Ovis aries: one gene and its partners. The protein of the gene in region 5 interacts with the protein of the main gene of each other region in a pairwise test. Links are inferred from orthologs where the notes say so. Each region holds a gene or a part of one and is shown on either strand. Other genes may lie near its edges. The genes, in order: TMEM218, PGAP2, FAM3C, FXYD6, CREB3L1, GPR25 and MFSD5.

Region 1 (3,500 bases), on a different chromosome or scaffold from region 5:
GAAAAGTGAAAGGGAAGTTGCTCAGTCATCTCCAACTTTGCGACCCCATGGACTGCAGCCTACCAGGCTCCTCAATCCATGGGCTTTTCCAGGCAAGAGTACTGGAGTGGGTTGCCGTTGCCTTCTCCGACAGCTAGATACAGTTTAGCAGAATTAACAAAGCTGTGTAACCCACATCCAGCTGAAGAAACAAAATTTCATAAGTACCCCAGAAGCCCCTTTAGTCACTTCTTTCTACACGGCAACCACACTCCAGACTTCTAACCCCCAAATTAGTTTGAACTGTTTTTGAACATTATATACATGTTATTACACAGTGTGAACTCTTGCCTCTAGCTTTTTATATTTAATATTTTCAAAACTTACCCACATTGCTGGATATAGTTGTGGTCTATTCATTCTTCTTTTTACTCTTTCATTGTATGAATGAATAAATTGTATCTATAATACCAACTCTTTGCAACCCTAAGGACTGTAGCCCACAAGCCTCCTCTGTCCATGGAATTTTCCAGGCAAGAATACTGGAGTGGGTTGCAATTTGCTCCTCCAGGGGATCTTCCTGACCCAGGAATCGAACCTGGGTCTTCTGCATCTCCTGCATTAGCAGGAAGATACTTTAACACTAGTGCCACCTGAGAAAGCTCACCCTATCTATTCAATTGAGGTATATTTAGGTCATTTCAGTTTGTAACTATTTCTAATAGGTCTGCCCTGAACTTTTGTGCATCTTTTAGTGAACTTATGACATGGCTGTTGGGGACACACCAGGAAGAGAACAGCTGGATCTAGGGTTCACATATTCAGCTTTATTAGATATAGCCAAAGAGTCTCCAAAGTGCTAATAAGAACTTACACTCTCACCAGCAGAGTACAAGGCTTCCAGTTTCTCCACATTTTGATCAACACTTGGAGTTGTCCATCATTTTCATTTTAGCCATTCTGGTAGGTGCCTAGAGGTACTGTATTTTATTTCCAATTTTCTAATGAAGGAGATGGGAATACCAGACCATCTGACCTGCCTCTTGAGAAACCTGTATGCAGGTCAGGAAGCAACAGTTAGAACTGGACATGGAACAACAGACTGGTTCCAAATCGGGAAAGGAGTACATCAAGGCTGTATATTGTCAAGCTACTTATTTAACTTATATGCAGAGTACATCATGAGAAACTCTAGGCTGGATGAAACACAAGCTGGAATCAAGATTGCCAGGAGAAATATCAGTAACTTAGATATGCAGATGACACCATCCTTATGGCAGAAAGTGAAGAAGATCTAAAGAGCTTCTTGATAAAGGTAAAAGAGGAGAGTGAAAAAGTTGGCTTAAAGCTCAACATTCAGAAAACTAAGATCATGGCATCTGGTCCCATCACTTCATGGCAGATAGATGGGGAAACAGTGGAAATGGTGGCTGACTTTATTTTTCTGGGCTCCAAGATGACTGCAGATGGTGACTGCAGCCATGAAATTAAAAGACGTTTACTCCTTGGAAGGAAAGTTATGACCAACCTAGATAGCATATTCAAAAGCAGAGACATTACTTTGCCAACAAAGGTCCGTCTAGTCAAGGCTATGGTTTTTCCAGTGGTCACGTATGGATGTGAGAGTTGGACTGTGAAGAAGGCTGAGCACCGAAGAATTGATGCTTTTGAACTGTGGTGTTGGAGAAGACTCTTGAGAGTCCCTTGGACTGCAAGGAGATCCAACCAGTCCATTCTAAAGGAGATCAGTCCTGGGTGTTCATTGGAAGGACTGATGCTAAAGCTGAAACTCCAGTACTTTGGCCCCCTGATGCAAAGAGCTGACTCATTTGAAAAGACCCTGATGCTGGGAAAGATTGAGGGCAGGAGGAGAAGGGGACGACAGAGGATGAGATGGCTGGATGGCATCACTGACTCAATGGACATGAGTTTGAGTGAGCTCCGGGAGCTGGTGATGGACAGGGAGGCCTGGCGTGCTGCAGTTCATGGGGACACAACTGAGCAACTGAACTGAAGTGAGTGACTAATGAAGCTGAGCACTTTTCACATATATATTGGCCATTTGTGTATCCTCTGTCAAGGGTTTATTCTTAGCTGCTTGATCTGTCAGTTTCTGAGAGAGACCTATTAAGACCTATATTGATGAATCCTCTTCCCACCCCAATCATCAGAAGTTTCCCAGAATGAATTCAGACTTTGTGTGTCCCCCCCTAGGAAACCCAGGAGCACTGAGAAGCGCAGCAGCACCGCTAACAGCAGGACCAGCTCGTCGCACTGTGCCCGGTGCTGTGCCGTGCATGGCTGGCACGGTGCTCGGCGTGGGGCCGGGCGTGTTCATCCTCGCCCTGCTCTGGGTGTTGGTGCTGCTGCTGTGTGCCTTGCTGTCCAGAGCCTCAGGGGCAGCGAGGTAAGTCCTTCTCTCTCTCTAGCGGGGAGTCCGAGCTAAAAGCAATCAGATGCGAAATCGCTGACGCTCATGAAACATTTAGAATTCAGGAGCTCATTGTCATTACCGGCAGTTGGAAGGAGTTGCATTTTAACCTCTTTATCATAAGCACTGACTGTGTTATTTATACTCGGAAGCTGAGGTGGGAGGAGAAAGGAGGGGGTACATGTCAGCTCGCAGCACACAGGAGATGAGGACATGGGAGATGAAAAGAGAATCTGCTTTCGCTGTCTCGTGAGTTTCTTGGGGTCACGCGTGTGCATGTTTCTTAACTGTTGAGATTCATGGCAGGTGCTGGGTCCAGCCCCTGAGGCTCTAGCCCAGGGCCCCGGGAAGCTGAAGGGTTGTGGATAACTTGGGCTGGTGTTGACTTAAAGAATCAGAGCCTAAACTGACTCTTAAGGACACTGTAGAGTCATACTCCCTGGCCAGATTGTGTAGGTACAAAACAAGTTACATCATTTACTAAAGTTTTTTGGTTTCAAACACAGCAGTGGGGGATCAGGGAAGGACCACTTTGGGTTTTCGTATGACCACACAGAGGTCAAAATAAAAACTACCTATTCCTGACAGAGCACGATTGACATATCATATATACACTTCTGTGTGTAAAACTGCCTCGTGGGAACCTGCTGTATAACACAGGGAGCCCAGCTCGGTGCTCTGTGATGACCTAGAGGGGGAGATGTGGGAGGCTTAAGAGGGAGGGGATATATGTGCACATAAAGCTGATTCACCTTGCATGGTAGAAACCAACACAGCACTGTAAAGCAATTACCCTCCAATTAAAAATAAAATTTAAAAATCCCACCAATTCCCATTCTTAGGGACTTGGAACTCCCAGGAATAACAGGAATGCATCCTGCTGGTACCTGTCTGGGAAGACGGGCTTTGGGAGGAAGGGGAAACGTTTCTGAATTCCTGTGGCCCTGGGGCAGCACACTGGGCCCTGTTAGTGGACTGAGGCAGAATATGGGCCCCAGGGAAAAGCCAGGCGCAGCCCAACACGAAACCGTGCTTTTAACCCCCTGTCTTTGGGCCACAGGTTCTCTGCCGTTTTCGTGTTCCTCGGTGC
Region 2 (3,500 bases), about 25 Mb from region 5:
CAGGGTCAGTAGGAGAGCTTGGGCCAGTCTGAGCCAAGGGTCCTTTGTCTGGGTTACTTGCCCTGAAGAAGGCCTTGGCTTGGAGACTTAAGCTGTCAGGTGGCAAGAGGCCTTAGTCCTAATGTTTGATCCTTGCATAGTTCTGGGCCTCGGTCTTCCCTTCTGTGATATGGGAAGAATAACCCTTCCATCCTCTGACCCTTTTCCTGAGGGTCATGGGAATGAGGCAGGCCATCAGAAGTCCCATGTGCAGGCCACTGGGAGCCTCGATTCTCCAGACTTTTCCAGAGGTGAACCTACAAGAGCAGTGTGCCAAGGGGACTCCAATGAGCTGACCCTGCCTCTCTCTGCTGTCCTGGCCCTTCCCCCTTATACCTCCTCTTCTGCACTTTTCTTTTTCCTTTATGCCCTTCCTATTCTTTTACTCTGCCTTTTCCCTGCCCTCTGAGGAGCTAGCTCTAGAAAATGCCCCACTTTCCCAGGCCCAGGTATCCCCACCAGGCCCCAAGTTGTGTCCCTTGCCCTGCCTGAGCACCACTCCCTACAGGATGTTCTCTGCGGCCTCCCAGCCCTTGGACCCCGATGGGACTGTGTTCCGGCTCAGCTTCAAAGCCATGGTCTCATGGGTCATCACTTTCCCTGTGTTCGGCTTCTTCTTCTGCATCATCTGGTCTCTGGTGTTCCACTTTGAGTACACAGTGGCCACTGACTGTGGGGTGAGTGCCAGGCTCCCCAGTGCCTGGGTCAGGGCCAGTTCAAGAGATGGTGATAAGGGTAGAATGTCAGAGTCGGAGAGAAGGCACAGGGTGAGAGGGGAGGGGGAAAAAAGGATGGTGGGGTCGGGGGAAGTCAGGGGGTGTGTTTTGGGGAGAGAGAGCCAGGGAAAGTAGATTCACAGTCCTCCAAGACTAGAAGAGGATTGTAGAGGGTACAAGGTGGCAGAAGGGGAGGAGGGGGAAGGGAAGAGAGGGAATAGGCAGGAGAGATCTCGAAAGGGAGAAGAGGGCTGAAGAAAGACCAGACTGGAAAAGAAGCCAGGACTGTGGGCTAAGATGAGGCCAGGAGTGAGGAGAAGTAATGAGTGGCTTTAGCCCAGACAAGAGGTCCTGCCCTGGGCTGCCTTGGGTTCTTCTAGCTTGGTTTCTCCTCTGGCAATCTCAGGCCCCACAACCTGAATCCTCAGAGCTCTGCCAGCTGGAAACCTAGAAGGAGCCCCTGCTTCTAAGAGCAGTCCACCAAGCCTTTCCTGAGGGCCCAGAGGGACGCAGGTTCTGTATCAGGGGCATGGAGTTGAACATGGACTTGCCCTTAGCATCTTTTTCCTGCAAGAGACAGACTTAGGCACAGATGTTCCCAGCACTGTGAGATGAGATTCCTTCTGTGATAAAAGGAGCATAGAGTTGGTGGGTTCAGAAGAAGCTCTTCACCCAGCTCAGAAATCAGAGACTTCTTCCTGGAGTGACGGTCGGGGTGAGGGGAGGGGAGTGAGAGTCCGGTAGGGGTGGTGTGGGTGGGAATTGTTGCTGTGGGGGTGAAGAAGGATTTTCATGAGTGCCAGGTTGACAACTTTTGATTTTATCCAGGGGACAATGGGGAGCTTTGGAAAGATTTTAAGCAAGAAAGGGACATGATCAGATTTGAGGTTTAGAAGACCATTCTGGCTCCTGTGTGCAGAACAGATTTAAGGGCAACAGGGCAAGGGCAGGGTACAGGGGTTTAGTTCATGGTACAGGAGGTTCCAGCTGAGATGGGGACTATGAGGTTAGAGAAAAGGGGATGGAGTTCAGAGAGGAGTAGCAGGTAGTTCTGATAGAAATGGGAGCTGTGAACATATAGTGGTTAGTACTCTGCGTTGTGATAGGAATAGGAGTTTTTATCCAGTTGGCAAGGGATAGGGAAGAGAATGGGTGGTAGGAAATAAAGAAAGGTCATCCATAAAAGTCAGGGGACTTTTATCTGAGGCCAAAAGAATGAATCTCTAATGGTGAAACATGAGATGCTATGATAAGGAAGTTTTTGGACCCCTTCCCTTTACACCGTGTGAATTTCTGATCTGCTGCCCTGCCATAGATCCACTGAGTCATGTCCTCCAGGCCAAAGGGTTTCTACTCTTGGGGAAAGGAATTATGCTCCCATCTCTCAGTACCCTTAGCTCTGGGCTTTTTGGGGAGGGGGATTTGGGTACTGTGTACCTAGGCTCTGATAGATTCTATGTTGCTTGTTGCTGGCATAGTTGGTGAGTAGGGAACGTTAGTACTTGGGATGGCAGGGGTGAATATGAGTACCTATACCTGATTGTGTATGTGTATGTGTGAGAGAGAGAGAGTTTGAGTGAGTTGAAGAGGGAGGCAGTTCTTACTCTTTGAATGCTGTGCCCACCCCTAACCTGAGAGGAGCTTGCGAGGATGGGACGAGTAGCCACAGGGCCCTAATTCTCTAATCCTCCTGAGGCATCCCCCCAAACTCTGTGTCATCTCTACCCTTTACCTATTTCCCAGCATCAGTCAGGGCTCTGGGCCCTTGAGTGCTCTGAGTTCTCCCAGCCAAGCCTTAGATGTTGGTACAGTTCTTAAAGTAGCTGAGGTTGGGGCAGGAGTTTTCAGAATGAATATTCTAGGAAGTGAAGACAACACTCCCACTAACCCTACACAGGGGACCTACCCAGAGAAGCAGGAAAGTCAAGTGAAGAGGCTTGGAGGTCTCAGCAGTGTCCAGTCCAGATATGACTCCCACCTGTCACTCAGAAGCCGGCCTTCCCATGGTCAGTAGCCACATAGATCACATATTTTTTTGCAGGCTTTTTGGGAAAGTTTGTCTTCTGAAAGCCATTGCTTATACTCACTGCAGATGCCTTGCATACATTGTATTTAGTATTCACCATCACCCTGCAAGGCAGGTGATATCCCTATTTTGCCAATGAGGAAAAGCTCAGAGAGGTAAAGTGACTTGCTCAAGGTCACCCAGCTTAGAAAGGCAGAGCTGGGATGCACACTCATTGCCTCCAAGCTGCCTTATCACTGAATATCTGAGACTGATCTTGAGCTTTAGTATCTCAAGTTGTACCTTGAGAGCATCACACTCTGAAAGCTCTGCACTGAGCTGCCTCTGACAGTGCTGGGGGGAATCCATCTCCTTTTCTGTGAAGGCTTGAGAAGGCTCTGGCTGGTCCCACCCCAGGCCCTCCCCGGCCCCGTGAGCTGCTTCTGTTATTGCCTGCCTTCCCAGCCACTCTGAGGTCCATTCAGCATCCCCACTGGCAGACAGGAAGGGATCTTCCAGAACTCCACTATGAAGACTGGTCCTGCTATCATCACAGCAGGGTCATTCGCTCTCTGGGTTTCTGGGCTCTGGTACTGCTCTGGCTCTTGTTGAAGGTCTAAAAGAGTCCACAGAAAAAAAAATAAAAATAAAAAAAATAAAAGAGTCCACAGAAAGTGTGGGCAACAGACTGGTAACTTCCATAGTTATGGAGTCCTTTAGAAATGCAGATTTTCAGATTC
Region 3 (3,500 bases), on a different chromosome or scaffold from region 5:
CTGATCAGTTCTGGGAATGGAGGGACCCTCCCCAAATCCAAGCTTCCAGAGCCAGTCAAGGACCAGTCTTGCTCTTAGGCCTTTCTAAGCCCTGCTATAGTAATCCTTTTCTGCTTAGGACCTCAAGGTATTCTCAAAGGAAAGTAAGGAAAGATGAGCAGAATCAAAATGAAAAGCTTAGTTTCCCATTGCTGCTAGATTGGTTAGTTTATTCATGCAGATCAAAACAATTTCTGAAATTTGAAATCCAGAAGGAAAAGACTGCCCTTCATTATATTTCTTAATTGTAAAAATTTTTAGATAAGAAAAAATTGCAGGTACTTCTGGCATGGGGCCAGGCCTGCATTTGGGTAAACACCTACTGTGAAGGCATTTTTTTGTATATAAAGCAATCTCTTGGCATTTGTGAACCTAACATTCAGCTATTTACAAGCAGCCCTGAAGCCTGCACCCTGAGATGCAATTTGTGATTTTTCTGAGATGTAACTGACTGAAGCCCATAGGCCTTCCTCCAGGAGGTTGTCACTAGGCTGCCCTAGTAAGCATGACCTCTGCTCTGCACCATTTATTGTAGATAAAGCAGCAAAACTCACTACTAGCACTGATGATACTAGTAAAATGTTCTAATTAAGAGGCCAGCAGTAGAACATTTGAATAAACTAAAGAATGGAATGTAATAGTTTGCAGATCCATGACATACGAACACTTCAGAAACAAGAAAACAGTTCATATAGTACTTTCAGGAGATGTCCATCTCCTACAGAAATTGCTTACCAAGTAAGCAGATGAATGAAAGTGATAGCAATTCATGTAAGGATGATTACAAGAAATACAGCTACAGACCCACTTTGGGGAGAAAGCCAGACGCAAGTACGTGTAGTTGTGTGTGAAGTTGTCAGAATCTTCAGAAACAGACTTCCCTGGTCCTTTTGCACAGCCATTTCATTTATTTTGATTTCCCTTGGTTATAAATGCATCACTTGATATAGTTATGAATCTGAAAGACTTAGTATTCCAGGGCTGCCCCTGATTTTCTCACTGATTCTTATGACCTTTCCCAGGAGGGCAGCAGTGCCCAAGCTGTGGTTAAAACAGATTCACTGCCCCCTGGATGTGACTAATTGTGAAAGGCTAATGACATATGTAGCTCTATCCTGTTCATGAAGCTTTTTTTTTTTTTAACATAAAGTATCCTGTTTATCTTCAGGTTAGTTACATGAGAACTGTCTTGCCAGTTTCAGATACTTCACATAAAATATTTAATGCCCTAAAAATATTTGAAAAACTTGAGTCATTTTGCAAACATTTGAAGTTAACAGATAAAGTCAGGTCTCTTATATTTGCATTTAGAATTGAGTATAAACTCATTGTATGTCAAATAAAATTATTTTTTAAATGTTATCAGTCCCAATCAGTAATCAGGACTTTCCTGTTGATAAATGTGTTATTATCTCTTCAGGCAAAAAGTACTGTTATGAAGTAGATATAAGTAAACATAGTGTTAGAAACATCCAGATTTCTATTAGCACTTACCTTAATTCTACTCAAATGTAATTTATAAAGACTGTAGTGGAGATTTAAAGTGATTTTTAATTTTACAAAGATGTTGACTACTTAAGAGCTTCTATTAGCCTGAATAGGTACCTACTGACAAAAATGACAGTTTCCCATTTTTATTTGATGGAATGTAGATGAAAATGAACTGTTGTTGTGAAATTAAGATACATAAAAGGTACTTCTAAATAGCATAAGCTAGAAATTTATTTGCTAGATTTCATAACTTTCATCATTAAAGATTTCAAATAGTAGGAATGTTACTCTGATAAAATTTATTTTTTTATGTTCTCTTATTTAAGCCAGGGTTTTCTCATTTATTTCATGGTTGTATGTTAAATATTGTAAGTGTATCAGTATTCGTTAGACCACATACAGTACACTACATTTACTGTATCATTCTTTTTCTCTCTCTTCAAGACTCAATGATGAGGCCCGGCGGCTGATTGCTGAACTGGGGAGTACATCTATTACTCATCTTGGTTTCAGAGACAACTGGGTCTTCTGTGGTGGAAAAGGCATTAAGACAAAAAGCCCTTTTGAACAGGTTAGTGTCTCAGACTTCATAATTAATGGGCAACAGCAATTGTGTGAAACCATACAGTATGTATTCCTATCCCAGTTATTTGCAACTTAGATAAAGCAGACATTAAATATGTTTCCATAATATGTTTCCATATTTTCCATAGGTTCCTGGCAATCAGTTATTTGGAATAATCATGACACTATTTTAATTTTAAAATTAAAAAAATTGTCTAATTATACATGAAATTTTTTTCCTATGTGACAATGCATTGGCCTATGATTACTTGTATCATAAGACCTTTAGGAAGTTGGTTATTAAAAATTTTAGCTGAACTTTTGATATTAGAATCAGTGAAGTACAGAAATACTTTAGAACTTAATAGAATGTAAACTTATTTTTGACTTACAAAGGATCTTTAAAGACCATCTGTGGTGTTTTGTTCTTTCAGCTCTTCTTTGAAGGTCTGCCAGTGTATGCCAGACCCCAGGCATTGCTCATCTAATATCTTGAACACTAATTTATATGTTAGTAGAAGTGTTACTGAAATGAGTATGCTTAATTATGTTATTGCAGATATGCAGTTTGCTAAAGTACTATACTGTGGTTGTGTTCCAACAGCACATAAAGAACAATAAGGACACAAATAAATACGAAGGATGGCCCGAAGTTGTAGAAATGGAAGGATGCATTCCCCAGAAGCAAGACTGACTTGGAGAAAACTGAAGGGAGCACACTTTCACTGTTAGTGGGAAAGCTCTACCAGAAAAACTACCTGTAAATATTTTAAGAGCATGCAGCCATCTCGGTGTGTGCATGTCCATTATCTCTTTTGATATCAGGATTATTTATTGCTGACGTAAATAGCTGTCTTTGTAAATAGTCATCATCATAAGCAAATCACTGAACCATTTTCAAGCACATCTCTCTAATGGTACAATGTTCAGACCATGATGCTAATAGCATCTTTTAATTCTAAAAGCATACCAATGGATAACTGAACAGATATGAAAAATATATTGATATATATACTAGTCGCTGTGAAAATCTATCATGGAATGATATGGATTTTAGGGAGCAGACTTTGTTTTCTTTTACATATATATATGTATATTGCCTTCTGATGATGGTATCTTTTAAATTAAAAAGATATTGGGCTAGTTGTGTGTGTAATGTTACTTTACAGTCTGACTCCCCTGTTGTATTTCTTTTCTTAGTCTTTTTCTTCCCTTCCCAAGAAACCTATAAATAAAATAAGAAAACATATCAAATACATGAAAAGCACAACAGAATTCTTTGTTTAATGTATACAGTACAAAGTAAATATATAAATGTAGATGGCATTCAGAACTGTAGTTTGATGGATTTTGTGTTAGCAGTGCGAATAACTTGATTTTGCATAAGCTATTCAGAGTGAGGCAGG
Region 4 (2,387 bases), about 47 Mb from region 5:
GGTGCTCAGTGAAACAGCGAAGCATGAACGAAATAAGTACTCGATGAAAACAAGCACAGATACAAAGGGGCGGGGTGGCTGTATCCATCAGGGCGTGAGTCGGGGAGTCACAGGGGAGAGGAGACGGGGGCTGTCCTCAGAGGGCTCCGAGGCGTGTCCCCCTGCGTTTGTTTCCCCTCATGAGCCTGGGCTGCTTGCAGCTCTCAGCGCTTACGTGGTCAAGAAGACAGTCGTGTTGAACCTTGACATCAGAAGAGCCCTCCTCCAGCCAAGGATCGCCACATACAGCTGTGCAAGTCGTGCACTGCACAGAGTCCCAGGCTGCTGGTCACACAGTCCCACAGACTCACAGCGCAGCCCTGCTCGGGCTAAGCCGGACACTGACCCTGGATGGTTTCTTTGCCTTTCAGGTCGCCGATGCAAGTGCAGTTTCAATCAGAAGCCGCGGTAGGGATACCATTGCTGTGGGCACCTGGGGTGACGCTGGGAGGGCTCAGGGAGGGGCCCGTGGTGTGTGACCCCAGATGAATGATTTCTGGATTCTTGTCTCAGAGACAGGCCATGTGCATTGGGGTAGGGGTAGAAGTTTTGAGGGTTGCCAGGCAGCCTTGGGGAGAAGGCAATGGCACCTCACTCCAGCACTCTTGCCTGGAAAATCCCATGGACGGAGGAGCCTGGTGGACCACAGTCCATGGGGTCACGAAGAGTCGGACACGACTGAGCGACTTCACTTTCACTTTTCACTTTCTGGTGTTGGAGAAGGAAATGGCAACCCACTCCAGTGTTCTTGCCTGGAGAATCCCAGGGACGGCAGAGCCTGGTGGGCTGCCATCTATGGGGTCGCACAGAGTCGGACACGGCTGAAGCGACTTAGCAGCAGCAGCAGGCAGCCTTGAGGGCAAAGGAGAGGTCAAAACGTCAAGGGTCAGCCTGCCCTTCTTTCTTCTGATGTGTGTGGGGGGGGTGGGGGAGGGGGAGGATGCTGGATCCTTGTCTGGAGGCCCTTGAGACAGTTGAGCTTGGCCTCAGGGTCTCTCTTGAGGTCTGTCTCCTCTCCAGGACCTGTGATGCTGCTCTGCGGGTCACCTGTCCATGAGGCTCTTTGATTTTTGTGGAAATCTGGGCTTCCTCTCACTCCCCTTTTGCCCCTACATAAGGGCACACTCATTAGTCCCTATGGTAACCCAGGGCAGCCCTGGACCTCAGAAGTCCCAAGTCAGTGACAGGACACACACCTTCCCAGCACTTACCCATCTTGGGTGCCAACATCAAAGGGTGCCCATCAATTCCTCTGACCTCTCCCCCACCCCATGAGCCCCATAATGGAGAATGATCCACCATGACCTGGAGGAGATGAATCCCTGGGCCCTGCCCCAGCAAGGGGACTGGCAGTGCTCTCTGGGTTTGCCCTGGAGACCTCTGACGGGCTTGCATCTTGTCTGCCGGCAGGGCTCCTGGGGATGAGGAGGCTCAGGTGGAGAACCTCGTCACTGCAAATGGTAAGTGTTAAGACCACCTGCCCAGGTGGGACGGAGGAAACGGGCAAGGGTCCTTGTGCAGCTTGGGGTGGAGCATGGTTGTCAAGTGAGGTGGCTTCTTGAGAGCTGGCTGGCCAAGCATGTTTCCAGGTGCCAGAGAGGGGTCCCAGGTCCTCTGCTCTGTGTCATCCCCTTACCTCCACGAGACAGGCTGCTGTTCCTGACTACTGCTATTTACAGGGACTCTGCTCAGTGCTGGGCATGGTACAGAGTGTTTCACTTCTCAGTAATGGGCACACAGCCCCAGGAGGTAGGCATCACTCTCCACATTTTACAACAGAGGGGCTCAGAAAAGTTCAGGAACGTGCCAAGTCCTCTAACAGGCGAATAGGAGACAGGGATCTGCCCGGGTCTGTCTGACTCGCAGTCTGCATGAAGCACCCCTGCTCTGCGGGTCAGGCTCCCCCCAACCCCCGAGACAGGCATAGCTGCTGCAGGGGGGTGGCCCACTGGGGTGAGGAGTTCATTCCCCCCACCTCCATACATTCCCTGGGCTCCATTCTGGTTCTTTTTCCAGCCACGGAGCCCCAGAAAGCAGAGAACTGAAGTGCAGCCCCCAGGCGCAAAGGTAAGTGCTGTCTGCCCATATCTTCCTGTCACCATCACTGTTCTGACCAGAGTCTGGCTGAGGAGTCATCAGGGAGGAATTGGCTAGCTTTTGCAATGGACATGGCTTTGATCATGAGCGGTGCTCTGCAGAAACTCAAGCCTGAAGGGTGATGAGACAGATGGACTAAAACCTCCCAGTACCACACGCACACACACACAGAACACGCAGTTGGGAAATCGAGCTTCCTCACAACCCAGCAGTCAAGTTGCTCAGGCGTCATCCTAGCTGCCACGTGGGCA
Region 5 (3,500 bases):
CAGCCCTGTGCTTCGTCCTGGTGCTGGGCTCCCTCGTGCCCTGCCTCCCTGAGTTCTCCTCTGGCTCCCAGACTGTGAAGGAAGACCCGATGGCCACTGACAGCATCTACACCGCCAGTCAGAGTGAGTGCCCCAAGCAGGGCTGCCCTCCCCCCACGCCAGCCCCAACTTCTGGGCAGAAGACAGACGCAAGTGAGGAGCCAGGTCTGGGGATGACACTGTCTCATTCTACCTTCCCATTTTGCAGATGGGAAAACTGAGGCCTCTCCCAAGGGTCTATGATTTGTTTGATATTAGTTATAGAATTAGAACTACAGTGCAGAGCCCCTGATTCCCAACCCACCCAGGAGTGGCTTGGCCAGGGGAGGAGGTTTAGGGAATGATAGGAATGTTCCCACCCTAGCCCCCATGTATTATGGTGCTGGTTGGTAGGGGGCATCTGCTAAGCCACCATCAAGATTTTACAACCGGGGTAGCGAGTGAGTTTCAGCTCCAGGGCCGTTTTCCATAAGATGTTAGTGGCTGCATGAAGCACTGTTCAGAAGGACTCTGAGGCCCCGTTCAGGATCGACAGGCAGGAGTGGCAAGATCCGCTGGTAACGTCTGTCATGGGCAGAAGCGTGGGAGTGGTGTGGACTCAGCTAGTTACCACCCCAAGGGGCTTGTGAGGACTGTTAAGAACATGGAGTTTCCGAGTCAGTCATATCTGCCACTCGCTAAGTGCGTGACCTCGGGCATGTGTCTGAAGCATGCTAAATTTTAATCTCTTATCTCAAAAATGGGAGTTACCAGTTCCACGCTTATTGAGCATGTTTGCTGTGAAGACGAAATGACATGGTGCATGAAGGCTCTCGGTACAGTTCCTGGTACACAGCAGGCTCTTACTAAACGAACAACAGTCGCTCCCTTTCTGATGCGCTCGCAAGAGGAGAGAAAAGACACAACACGCAGTGGCAAGGGGAGAACCGGCCCGGGGGGCAGCGAAGAATAGTGTGGATTTCCGGAGGCAGAGGATGCTCCAGACAGACCTTCAGAGGGACTTCCAGACAGTCCCTCATGGCCTCCTGGAGCGCACCATCCAGCAGGGCAGGGGGAGGAAAAGGAAACAGATGGGAGGTTGGAGGGAGCGAGGAGCTGGCGGGAGTGAGTTTCAAGGAGGAGGGATGCTGCGGGAAGAATGAGTTGGGACTGCAGGGCCTTGAGGCCGTGGGGAGGGTTAGGGGAAGAGGAAGCAGAAGCGAGGAGTGAAAACCCCTCCCTGGACCAGAGCAGCCAGAGAAGAGGCAGTTGCTAAGGGAGGTGGGTGGTAGGGATGTAAGTTCCTGAGAGGCACATGTCCGTTTCCTTAAGGCCAGAGGGGTCTGTGTGATGGGAGGCACAGAGGACCTGGAAAGGAAGGAATGGAAACTGGGGGAGTGGGGTTAGGGGGCAGGGGAGGCGTGTTGCTGGACAAAAGCAGAGTCAGAGGAGCCAGAGGAGCGCAGGAATGAATGAGCCCCTCAGAGTGAGCGCAGTGGGTTTCAGGCTCAGGGTCCCCGCAGGGCGAAGAGGAGGAAGTGAGCCCTGGAGCAGGCTGGCCCACGGAGCTGGGGCAGCGCACAGAGGCAGGGGCCCTGCTCAGGCAGACCGTGAGGTCAGGGCCCCAAGAGTGAGGAGGGTGCTGGTGGCTCCTGGAGCCAGGCGGGCCAGGGTCTGCAGCTCGGCCGCAGTGCATCTTCCTTAGGCCGGGACAGCGCCCCTGACAACCTGGAGCCTCAATGGCCTGTTTTGTGAAATGCACCTAAAAATATCTCATTCTGAGAGTTTCTGTTAATGATTTGATATAGGTTAAAGGATGCCGACAATGTCTGATAGGCATGGTAGATATCCAACAAATGTGTTTTCTCTTTTCCTCATCTCCCTGAGGGGTAAACTGGGGCCTCAAATGGGGAAAAGGTTTATTCAAGGTCTCACAGGAAGGGAGTGGTTCAGTAGGATGAGAACCCAGCTCTCAGATGCCCCAACCCAGTGCCCTCTGCTTAGGGAGTGCTAACTGGCTCTGAGTGCAGCTTCAGTCACTCTGTTATCTCATTTAAACCTCACATCGACGGGAGGTTGGCCCCTAGTATTCCTATTTTACAGATGAGCAAGCTCAGAAAGGTGAAAGCAAAGGCATGGCTTGCCTGCAGTCACACAGCTGGGAATCATTTGAGCTGGATTCAGATCCAGGCCTGAAAGAGTCCAGGGCCCAGGTCCATGACCACTGGGCGCTGAATGCGGCTAGACGGGGAGGGAGCCTTGGCACCATGGCTCACCCTGAGCTCCTTCTCCAGTGCCCTCCCGGAGCCTCCTGTTCTACGACGAGGGAGCGGGCTCATGGGAGGATGGCCGCAGTGCCCTGCTGCCCGTGGAGCCCCCGGATGGCTGGGAGATCAAGCCCGGGGGGCCGGTGGAGCAGCGACCCCAGGACCACCTGCAACATGACCACCTGGACAGCACCCATGAGACCAGCAAGTACCTGAGTGAGGCCTGGCCAAAGGACGTCGGTGGGAACAGCACGGGCCCTGACTTCTCCCACCCTAAGGAGTGGTTCCACGAGAGGTGGGTGGGTGGCCCCTTCCCTTCCTGGGCTCCCAGGCTCCACCCAGCCTCTGCTCACCCCTGGTTTCCGCGTTGTCAGCCACACCCTCCCGCAGCCCCATCCCTCCCAAGTCCAAACCCAGCTTGCAGAGGGGCCAGAGGGTCCTTCCCAGACAGAGTCATCCCTGACTTCTCTTCTCTCTCCAGGGATCTGGGTCCCAACACCACCGTCAAGCTCTCCTAGGCCGTGCCAAGACCCAGGACACAGGGCGTACCCTCTGGTACTCAGAAGAGGGGTCGTCCTGCTCACCAACCCGGATCCGGCTCGTACCCCTGCCCCCTGGGGTCCCCTCCCAGGAGAAAGGGTTCCACTCCCCACCCCCTACCAGCCCCTCTTTGCCCCAGATCTTGACTGGGGCCCCCCTTCCCCCCATATTTGGACTGTTCCCTTGGGCCAACCACTCTGTTCTCACCCCCTCCCTCCCACAACCATCCGTCCTTCTCAGATAAACCACTCACTGGGTTACCCACCTCCTTTCTTATAATGACCAAGAGGACCACTGCCTCCCTGCCCCACCACGACCACATACACACACACAGACACACCAACAGACCAACTCACTAAGCCCCTCCCCGCCCCCCCCCACCACTGTACAGAGACCAAGAACAGAAATTGTTTGTAAATAATGAACCTTATTTTTTATTATTGCCAGTCCCTAAGATATTGTATTTTACAAGTCTCCCTCCTACCTTCAACCCTCCCTTGTTTTGTATTTTATGAAGTTAGTGCGGGCTTCGCTGCTCCCTGGCCCAGGAGAGAGGGTCCTCCCACCCAGAACCCCTCACCTGGCCTCCCCCTTGCCGCTGCCCAAGCCGCTGGGCCTTTTTAATTGCCAAACCGCTTCACCCATCAGCTCAGCACATGCTTTAAGAAGGCAAAA
Region 6 (3,849 bases), on a different chromosome or scaffold from region 5:
TCCACAGCTTGGCACTAACTTGCCCTGAGGGTGCAGGTGGGCTCTGCCCCCTCCGCGTGTCCAGGGGCCTCTCAGTCCCCACCTCGGGTGCCAGGAAAGACCCAGGACTTCCTCCTCAGTCAGAGGGGCTGCCCCCTCCTCCGAGCTCCAGGGGGACTTCATTAACCTTCACACCAGGACGTGTGACCTCTGGCACGCCGGCCACTGCACATGGGACATACAGATCTGTCTCTGGGGCCTGATTAGTGACCCTCCAAGGTCAAAACCGGCATCTCCTGTGACACCCAAAACGGGGCCTGCCACACGGAGGCGGTTGCTGTAACAGGGCTGTACGGAATAAAATGGAAAAATAACCCTCCTCGAATTTTTAACGCCAGATGACCCAACCGCTCATCCACTCCTGGTGACAATGAGGCACGGCTCTGTGGAGGACTCACTGTCACAGCTCACTGCAGCAGCTCGCGGGAGGACGTGCCAAGAGGAGCTGAGGCCCGACAATGCCCAGCATCCTCGGGAACCCTGCCCCCATCCTGTCCCTGGCCCACCGCCGCCTCCAAGGCCAGGCTACATGCCCACCCTTCTCTCTGAATCCTTCCTGCCTCTCAGTCCACAAGGGATCCCGTCCTCCTCTGAAACTCCCGACTCCTGGTTGAGGACAACGCCTCTGCCGCTGAGTCCTGCTCCATCTTGCGCTCCGGGCCTAGCACCCATAGGCTCCGTTAGGTAGGTTCTGCCCAGGAAGGAAGGTGGGGAAGGGCTGGGGTCTAGATTCCAGGCTTTGCTGCCTCATCTGGACAGGCTGACCCTCCCTCTTCAGGTGCAAACCCTCCCCGTGGCTCCCTGAGAACCTGAGCTGGTCAGAAATGCCACCCTGGGCTAAGACACCAGACCCAGCAGCTCAGGGAGCTAACGGCATCGGAGAGTCTGGTATTCAGCCCCTGACTGTAGGGAGGCCCCCAAGGGCAGGCTCCCTCCACGCGCCGGCTCTGCAAAGAGGCCAGGGGAATCTTGGCAGCTGGCACCTCCTTGGGGAAAATCCTAAGAGAGAGACAGACAGTAGCCGGTAGCCAAGAAGGGGTGAGAGGGACTGAGGCTCTGAGCGCCTGTTCTACCGGGCCTCCGGGCCCTGAAACCGTTGACACTCCTAGTTCAATAAAACCAGTGACTGATGAGGGACAGGTCAGGCTCCCACGGGAGGCAGGGCGCAGATCCAGCCGGGAGCTTTTCTTCCAAAGACCCAGCTGGGAAGCCACCTCCCCGGCCCTCCGCCCCACCGCGAATCTCGCCCCCCTCTCTTCCCAGGCACCTGCCCCTCCCCCGCCCCCACCCCTTCCTGCCCACCCATTCGCCTCGGCCCGCGGCGGCAGGAAGGGAGGTGCTGGGCTGGGCACGGGCCGTGAAGAGCCACCTTCCCTCTTGGCCCCGCTACCGCCACCGGGCGTCTCCGGCCATGAGCCCCACGGAGCCCTGGAGCCCCAGCGCGGGGACGGCGCCCTGGGACTATTACTCGGGGTCGGGCGCACCGGGCGAGCTGGAGCTGGAGGAGCTGTGTGCGGCGCGGGACCTGCCCTACAGCCACGCCTACATCCCTGCGCTCTACCTGGCGGCCTTCGCCGTGGGCCTGCCGGGCAACGCCTTCGTGCTGTGGCTGCTGTCCGGGGCGCGCGGCCCGCGGCGGCTCGTGGACACCTTCGTGCAGCACCTGGCGGCCGCCGACCTGGGCTTCCTGCTCACGCTGCCGCTGTGGGCCGCGGCGGCGGCGCGGGGTGGCCGCTGGCCCTTCGGCGAGGGCCTGTGTAAGCTCAGCAGCTTCGCGCTGGCCGGCACGCGCTGCGCGGGCGCCCTGCTGCTGGCCGGCCTCAGCGTGGACCGCTACCTGGCCGTGGGCCGCCCGCTGGCCGCGCGCTCCCCGCGCTCCCGGCGCTGCGCGCTGGCCGCCTGCGCGGGCGTGTGGGCCGCGGCGCTGGCCGCCGGCCTGCCGTCGCTGGCCTTCCGCCGCCTGCGGCCGCTGCCCGGCGGGGGCCACGGCAGCCAGTGCGGGGAGGAGCCGTCGGACGCCTTCCAGGGCCTGAGCCTGCTGCTGCTGCTGCTGACCCTGGTGCTGCCCCTGGCCGTCACCGTCGTCTGCTACTGCCGCGTGTCGCGCCGCCTGCGCGGGCCGCCGCACCTGGGCCGCGCGCGGAGCCGCTCGCTGCGCATCATCTTGGCCGTCGAGGGCGCCTTCGTGGGCTCCTGGCTGCCCTTCTGCGCCCTGCGCGCCGTCTTCCACCTGGCGAGCCTGGGCGCGCTGCCGCTGCCCTGCCACTTGCTGCTGGCGCTGCGCTGGGGCCTCACCGTCGCCACCTGCCTGGCCTTCGTCAACAGCTGCGCCAACCCGCTCATCTACCTGCTGCTCGACCGCTCGTTCCGCGCGCAGCTGCGGCAGCGCGGGGCCTGCGGGCGCGCCGACCGCCCGGCGCGCTGGAGCAGCTCGGCGTCATCACTCTCCGGCGACGACGGCTCCCCGTTCAGGAGCCCGGCCCGCGCGGGCGGCCGAGCCCAGACGGCGAGCGCCCCCAAGGCTGTCGGCCCGTAGCTGCTCGGCCGGCGGGCTGCGGGTGGCGCAGGGAAGCGAAGCGGGCCGCTCCCCACCGCCGCCTACCTCCCCACCTCCCCGAGCGCAGCGGACTGCTCCGCCGGGTGCGCGGGGCCTCCCGGGGTCTCCCTCACGAGCTTTCCCAAAATCTCAGCTCTTCCAGCGTCCACCCCCCCCAACCCCCGGCTCGGCTCCGGAGACCCGCTCTCCTCCTGCTCCGCCCAGTGCGCACCTGAGCTTTGTCTCCAGCGCAGTAAACGTCCTGCGAGATGGACCTGCCACGCCGACCCGGGCTCGGAAAGGGAAGTGGCCTCCCTGCTCTGCGCCCTGGGAGAGACGCCCAGAGGCCACTCTCGTCTCGGCGGCCCGTTACCTTTGGTCCCTACAGTCGCCATTGCCTGCTGAGAAATACCTTCTCCAAGCCGAACCCTCTGGCTCCTCTCCAAAGAATCCCGGACCTTTGCGCTCTGCCGTCTTGGTGGCTGTGCTGAGTCACGCGTCCGCATCTTCAATTTCAACACTCACCAAAGCATGGGGAGCACGGTGCTGTCGCGCTCACCCCTTCCTGCTGCCAGCGACCCCAGGAGGCCCGTCCTTCATCTCCCCAGCTCCCAAGAAGCCGCAGGACTCACCCTGGACTTGGGCGGGTGCCTCCCTGCAGACAGAGGGTTCCAGCATCTGTCCCCGGGCACTCGGATGCTCTGACCGGCTGCCACACTGGGCCCCGCAGTGTGAGTTCCCCTTTCTCAATAAACACTTGCTGCCCTCACCCGACAGCTGTGTCTGCCTTTACTTGAGTGTAAGGGACTGAAATGAGTGTGAGGGGGCCACTTAATCACTGGGTCAGACAAAACTCAATCCAGGAGTTGAGGCTGACCTCAAAGTGGTCAGGATTTGGTGTCAAGTTGGGCTAAGGACAGCGGCCCCGCCGTGGGCCCCCCAGGAGGGCAGCCTGTCTTCTCTTCTTACTATTTTAAAGGACGTTTCCCATTTTGGAGGTTTCAGAGAGAGAGGGAGGGGGAAAAGACTGGAGCACAGCTGCCAGCCAGGTGTCACTTCAAAGCGGAAGTGTGGCCTTGTGGCTGTCAAATCCTGGTGGAGCTTTCTCCTCACTCCCTTTGGGCCCATCCAGGACAAATGCTGAAGGGCATCCATGTTCTGAGTCTGCGGCATCCTTGGGGGTTTCTGGAGGGGTTGGGAATTCAGCCTTTATACTTTTAAGCAGATATGGCCTAAAGAAACGTCAGTGCAGGAAAGAACTCAGGAATTCTCCT
Region 7 (3,969 bases), on a different chromosome or scaffold from region 5:
GTAGGAGCTGCAGGAGGGAACCATGTGGATATCTGGGAGAACCAGAGCTTCACAGGGCACAGTGTGCAAAGGCCCTAGTGATAACCAGTGTAGATGGAGTAGAAGGCGCAGGAGGGAAAATGGTAAGAGATGAGGTCAGAGAAGTGGCAGCGGAAAAGAGGACAAAGGAGTTTGTAGGCTATTATGATTTTGGCTTTTTCGCTTAGTGAGATAAGAAGCCATTGGAGGGTGGTTTTTTTGTTTCGTTTCGTTTTAAAATATTTATTTACTTATTCGGCTTCCTCCAGTCTTAATTATGGCAGGTGGGATCTTCCTTTCAGCATGTGGGATCTAGTTCCCTGACCAGGGATGGAACCCAGGCCTCTTGCATTGGAAGGAGGAGTTTTAGCCACTGGACCACTAGGGAAGTTCCCCCTGGGAGGGTTTTGAGGAGATAATACTAAAGCTGGAAAGAAGTTAAATAAACCTTTCCCAGGTACCACAGCTGTAGCAGAGGGTGGGCGTCCAACTCCAAGGCTGAAGTTCTTAACTCTTGACTGCCACTGAACTTTAAAGCCTTTTTCAGTTGGGCGCTGCTCTCCTATGATGCAGACCAAGAAACTGGGACACTGAGAAGTCATATGGCTTGCCCGAGGCGACACAGCTGGTAAGTGATAGGGGTGGGATTTGAGCCTTAGCGGTCTGCAAGCCAAGTCCACGTCCTTTACACCACACTGCCTCCCTCAGGTGTCTGAGCCATACTGACTTCTGGCCAGGAAGTCACTATCGTGGGAGAAAAGAAAATCGAGAAGCCCGTCTCGGCTTAGGGTGACGATGTTCCTTAAGAAGATCAAACCCCGACTCTGCGGAACTGCTGGCATTGTCTTAGGCACAGCAGCGCTCCGTAACCCACGACACGGAGGAAGAGACTGAAAATGGGTCTTTATTTCCAGGAGGTTCGGTAGGTATCCGGGAGTCGAAGAAGCGAGTGTCATGGGAAGGCCACGGATGGGAGTGAACCAGGAGCAGAAACGGCGACCACCACCGCCTCCAGTCTTGGCCTCGCCGGCGTCCGGAGGTTGCAGACGAGTCGCGGCTAGAGGGCGGAGCAGGGGCGGGGTTTGAACGCCGCGCCCCCGTCACGTGATGGGGCCATCATGGCGGCGGCCAGAGGCCTCCCAGGCTCCCGGAAGCAGGCTGTGAGGGGCGGGCGCGCTGGTGGAACCCGAGCCGGAGCCAGAGCAGGAGGTAGAGCGGGAAGGGCGGCCGGGCGGCCTGGAGCCGGACGTGTCCGGAGCGTCCCCGCAGACCGGGGCAGCAGGTGAGACCAGGGTCTGGGCAAGGCGCGAGCGTGTGTGGCGGCGGCAAGCGGGGTCTAGGGGGCGCAGGCGGGGGTGCCCTGACCCGAAGGAGGGGGAAATCTGAGATGCACGCGCGTGGCCTGAAGCAACTCTAGAGGCCTGCGCGGGTGGTAGGGATGCCTGGGACAGATGACGAGACCTCGAGGACAAAAATAGGCTCCCCAGAGAGGATGGGAGGTAACAGAAGGAAGTACAGTGTGTAAACGCTGTTACGGGGAAGGGCAGCAGCCCCTTAACTTGCGGGGCTGGGATTAGGTACTCCCTCTTTGCTCTGCCAGGAAAGGGTGGGGCGAATGCTCAATCTTCTCTCCTCTCACACCCCTCCCTGCCCCAGAGTGTCCCGCTCTGGCGGGCCACTCCTCCCACCCACCCAACTGGTCCCTCCGGTCTGAGCTCTGGGGGAGTGGAATTGAGGGGTTGGGGAGTGCTGTTGGCAGGGGTGGGGGTTGGGTGGATCCGCTTTCTGCTTAGACAGGCAGCCCCTGGACAGCGCTACCCGGGCAATGGATGTGACTCTGAAGCCCCCTTCTCTTCCCAGGTCGTCCGGGGGCCGGCCATGCTGGTGACTGCTTACCTTGCTTTTGTGGTCCTCCTGGCCTCCTGCCTGGGGTTGGAGCTGTCAAGATGCCGGGCTAAGCCCTCTGGAAGGGCCTGCAGCAATCCCTCTTTTCTTCGGTTTCAACTGGACTTCTATCAGGTCTACTTCCTGGCCCTGGCAGCTGACTGGCTGCAGGCCCCCTACCTCTACAAACTGTATCAGCATTACCACTTCCTGGAGGCACAAATTGCCATCCTCTACGTCTGTGGCCTTGCCTCCACCGTCCTCTTTGGACTGGTGGCTTCCTCCCTGGTGGATTGGCTGGGTCGCAAGAAATCTTGTGTCCTCTTCTCCCTCACTTACTCACTCTGCTGCTTAACCAAACTCTCCCGAGACTACTTTGTGCTGCTGGTGGGCCGAGCGCTAGGTGGGCTATCTACAGCCCTGCTCTTCTCAGCCTTCGAGGCCTGGTATATCCATGAGCACCTGGAACGGCATGACTTCCCCGCCGAATGGATCCCGGCTACCTTTGCCCGAGCTGCCTTCTGGAACCATGTGCTGGCTGTAGCGGCAGGTGTGGCAGCTGAGGCCGTGGCCTGCTGGATGGGCCTGGGGCCTGTAGCGCCCTTTGTGGCCGCCATCCCTCTCTTGGCTCTGGCTGGGGCCTTGGCCCTTCACAACTGGGGAGAGAACTATGATCGGCAGCGTGCCTTCTCTAGGACCTGTGCTGGTGGCCTACGCTGCCTCCTGTCGGACCGTCGTGTGCTCCTGCTAGGCACCATCCAGGCCCTGTTTGAGAGTGTCATCTTCATCTTTGTCTTCCTCTGGACGCCTGTGCTGGACCCACATGGGGCTCCGCTGGGCATCATCTTCTCCAGCTTCATGGCAGCCAGCCTACTTGGCTCTTCCCTGTACCGCATCGCTACCTCCAAGAGGTACCACCTTCAGCCCATGCATCTACTCTCCCTCGCTGTCCTCATCGTCGTCTTCTCCCTCTTCATGTTGACGTTCTCCACCAGCCCAGGCCAGGAGAGTCCAGTGGAATCTTTCATAGCCTTCCTTCTTATCGAGCTGGCCTGTGGACTGTACTTTCCCAGCATGAGCTTCCTGCGGAGAAAAGTGATCCCTGAGACCGAGCAAGCTGGTGTCCTCAACTGGTTCCGGGTGCCCCTGCACTTACTGGCCTGCCTGGGGCTCCTGGTCCTCCATGACAGCGATCGCAAAACGGGTACTCGGAATATGTTCAGCATCTGCTCCGCCGTCATGGTGATGGCTCTGCTGGCAGTGGTGGGACTCTTCACTGTGGTCAGGCACGATGCTGAGCTGCGGGTGCCCTCGCCCACCGGGGAGCCCTACACTCCTGAGCTCTGACCCTGTTCTAGGACCAGGGAGCTGGGATGGACCCTTGAACCCCACCTCTCCAGGGCTGAACAGATCTCTCTGTGACCCCTCAGCCTGTCCGGGGGCTCCTCCTGTCAGTGCTTTGGGTTGGGAAGCACATGGGGTGATGGCCTGGAAAGAAGATGCCAAAAGTTGCCTCTGTGTCACTCCCATCCCCCTTTCCACTTTAAAATAAACAATTTTAATTGATCATTGATCTCATTTACTCATCCTCACCTGTACCCACCTCAGTAGTTCTTATGAGGGGGCAGCTGGAGGTTGTGAGGAGAGAGGTGGGGTTACCAGTGGAACGTTTGTCTTTCTAGCTTCACTAAGACTTGTTTAGTCGCTAAGTTGTGTCTGACTCTTTGTGACCCCCATGGACTGTAGCCTGCCAGGCTCCTTTGTCCATGGGATTTCCCAGGCAAGAGTACTGAAGTGGGTTGCCATTGCCCTTTCCATGCGATCTTCCTGACCCAGCGATTGAACCCACGTCTCCTGCATTGGCAAGCGGATTCTTTACCACTGAGCCACCAGGGAAGCCCTCTCTAAGACTGCCTCCACCTTAAACTGAGAACTGTGGAATTGCCTTTCAACAGAAATGGGTGGGAAAAGCCTGAGGCTCTGAGGTCCTCCATATCTTGTTACCCTGGAGACAGGCACCCTCCCCATTTGCCAAGCAAAAACCTTACTCCACATCCAGAGTGAGAC

What was found.
Region 1: the proteins of CREB3L1 (region 5) and TMEM218 interact in binary tests that used the Homo sapiens proteins (3 or more experiments, as listed by UniProt). The link is inferred for Ovis aries from reciprocal best matches to the Homo sapiens genes CREB3L1 and TMEM218.
Region 2: the proteins of CREB3L1 (region 5) and PGAP2 interact in binary tests that used the Homo sapiens proteins (3 or more experiments, as listed by UniProt). The two-hybrid records come from large-scale screens. The link is inferred for Ovis aries from reciprocal best matches to the Homo sapiens genes CREB3L1 and PGAP2.
Region 3: the proteins of CREB3L1 (region 5) and FAM3C interact in binary tests that used the Homo sapiens proteins (3 or more experiments, as listed by UniProt). The two-hybrid records come from large-scale screens. The link is inferred for Ovis aries from reciprocal best matches to the Homo sapiens genes CREB3L1 and FAM3C.
Region 4: the proteins of CREB3L1 (region 5) and FXYD6 interact in binary tests that used the Homo sapiens proteins (3 or more experiments, as listed by UniProt). The two-hybrid records come from large-scale screens. The link is inferred for Ovis aries from reciprocal best matches to the Homo sapiens genes CREB3L1 and FXYD6.
Region 6: the proteins of CREB3L1 (region 5) and GPR25 interact in binary tests that used the Homo sapiens proteins (3 or more experiments, as listed by UniProt). The two-hybrid records come from large-scale screens. The link is inferred for Ovis aries from reciprocal best matches to the Homo sapiens genes CREB3L1 and GPR25.
Region 7: the proteins of CREB3L1 (region 5) and MFSD5 interact in binary tests that used the Homo sapiens proteins (3 or more experiments, as listed by UniProt). The two-hybrid records come from large-scale screens. The link is inferred for Ovis aries from reciprocal best matches to the Homo sapiens genes CREB3L1 and SLC61A1.

What each region holds. Positions count from the first base shown.
Region 1 is NC_056074.1:25,990,358-25,993,857, reverse strand, and holds part of TMEM218 (transmembrane protein 218), read left to right. Parts: 5' UTR 1-942; intron 943-2,193; 5' UTR 2,194-2,276; coding exon 2,277-2,386; intron 2,387-3,470; coding exon 3,471-3,500. UniProt on the Homo sapiens protein: May be involved in ciliary biogenesis or function.
Region 2 is NC_056068.1:50,010,720-50,014,219, reverse strand, and holds part of PGAP2 (post-GPI attachment to proteins factor 2), read left to right. Parts: intron 1-532; coding exon 533-716; intron 717-3,500.
Region 3 is NC_056057.1:87,488,010-87,491,509, reverse strand, and holds part of FAM3C (protein FAM3C), read left to right. Parts: intron 1-1,974; coding exon 1,975-2,101; intron 2,102-2,698; coding exon 2,699-2,788; 3' UTR 2,789-3,500. UniProt on the Homo sapiens protein: May be involved in retinal laminar formation. Promotes epithelial to mesenchymal transition.
Region 4 is NC_056068.1:28,227,947-28,230,333, reverse strand, and holds part of FXYD6 (FXYD domain-containing ion transport regulator 6), read left to right. Parts: intron 1-410; coding exon 411-447; intron 448-1,449; coding exon 1,450-1,499; intron 1,500-2,055; coding exon 2,056-2,084; coding exon of another isoform or gene 2,085-2,106; intron 2,107-2,387. UniProt on the Homo sapiens protein: Associates with and regulates the activity of the sodium/potassium-transporting ATPase (NKA) which catalyzes the hydrolysis of ATP coupled with the exchange of Na(+) and K(+) ions across the plasma membrane.
Region 5 is NC_056068.1:75,250,612-75,254,111, forward strand, and holds part of CREB3L1 (cyclic AMP-responsive element-binding protein 3-like protein 1), read left to right. Parts: coding exon 1-123; intron 124-2,312; coding exon 2,313-2,580; intron 2,581-2,766; coding exon 2,767-2,803; 3' UTR 2,804-3,500.
Region 6 is NC_056065.1:78,883,387-78,887,235, forward strand, and holds GPR25 (probable G-protein coupled receptor 25), read left to right. Parts: upstream 1-1,371; 5' UTR 1,372-1,450; coding exon 1,451-2,575; 3' UTR 2,576-3,349; downstream 3,350-3,849. UniProt on the Homo sapiens protein: Orphan receptor.
Region 7 is NC_056056.1:133,235,855-133,239,823, reverse strand, and holds MFSD5 (molybdate-anion transporter), read left to right. Parts: upstream 1-1,196; 5' UTR 1,197-1,300; intron 1,301-1,878; 5' UTR 1,879-1,896; coding exon 1,897-3,249; 3' UTR 3,250-3,469; downstream 3,470-3,969. UniProt on the Homo sapiens protein: Mediates high-affinity intracellular uptake of the rare oligo-element molybdenum.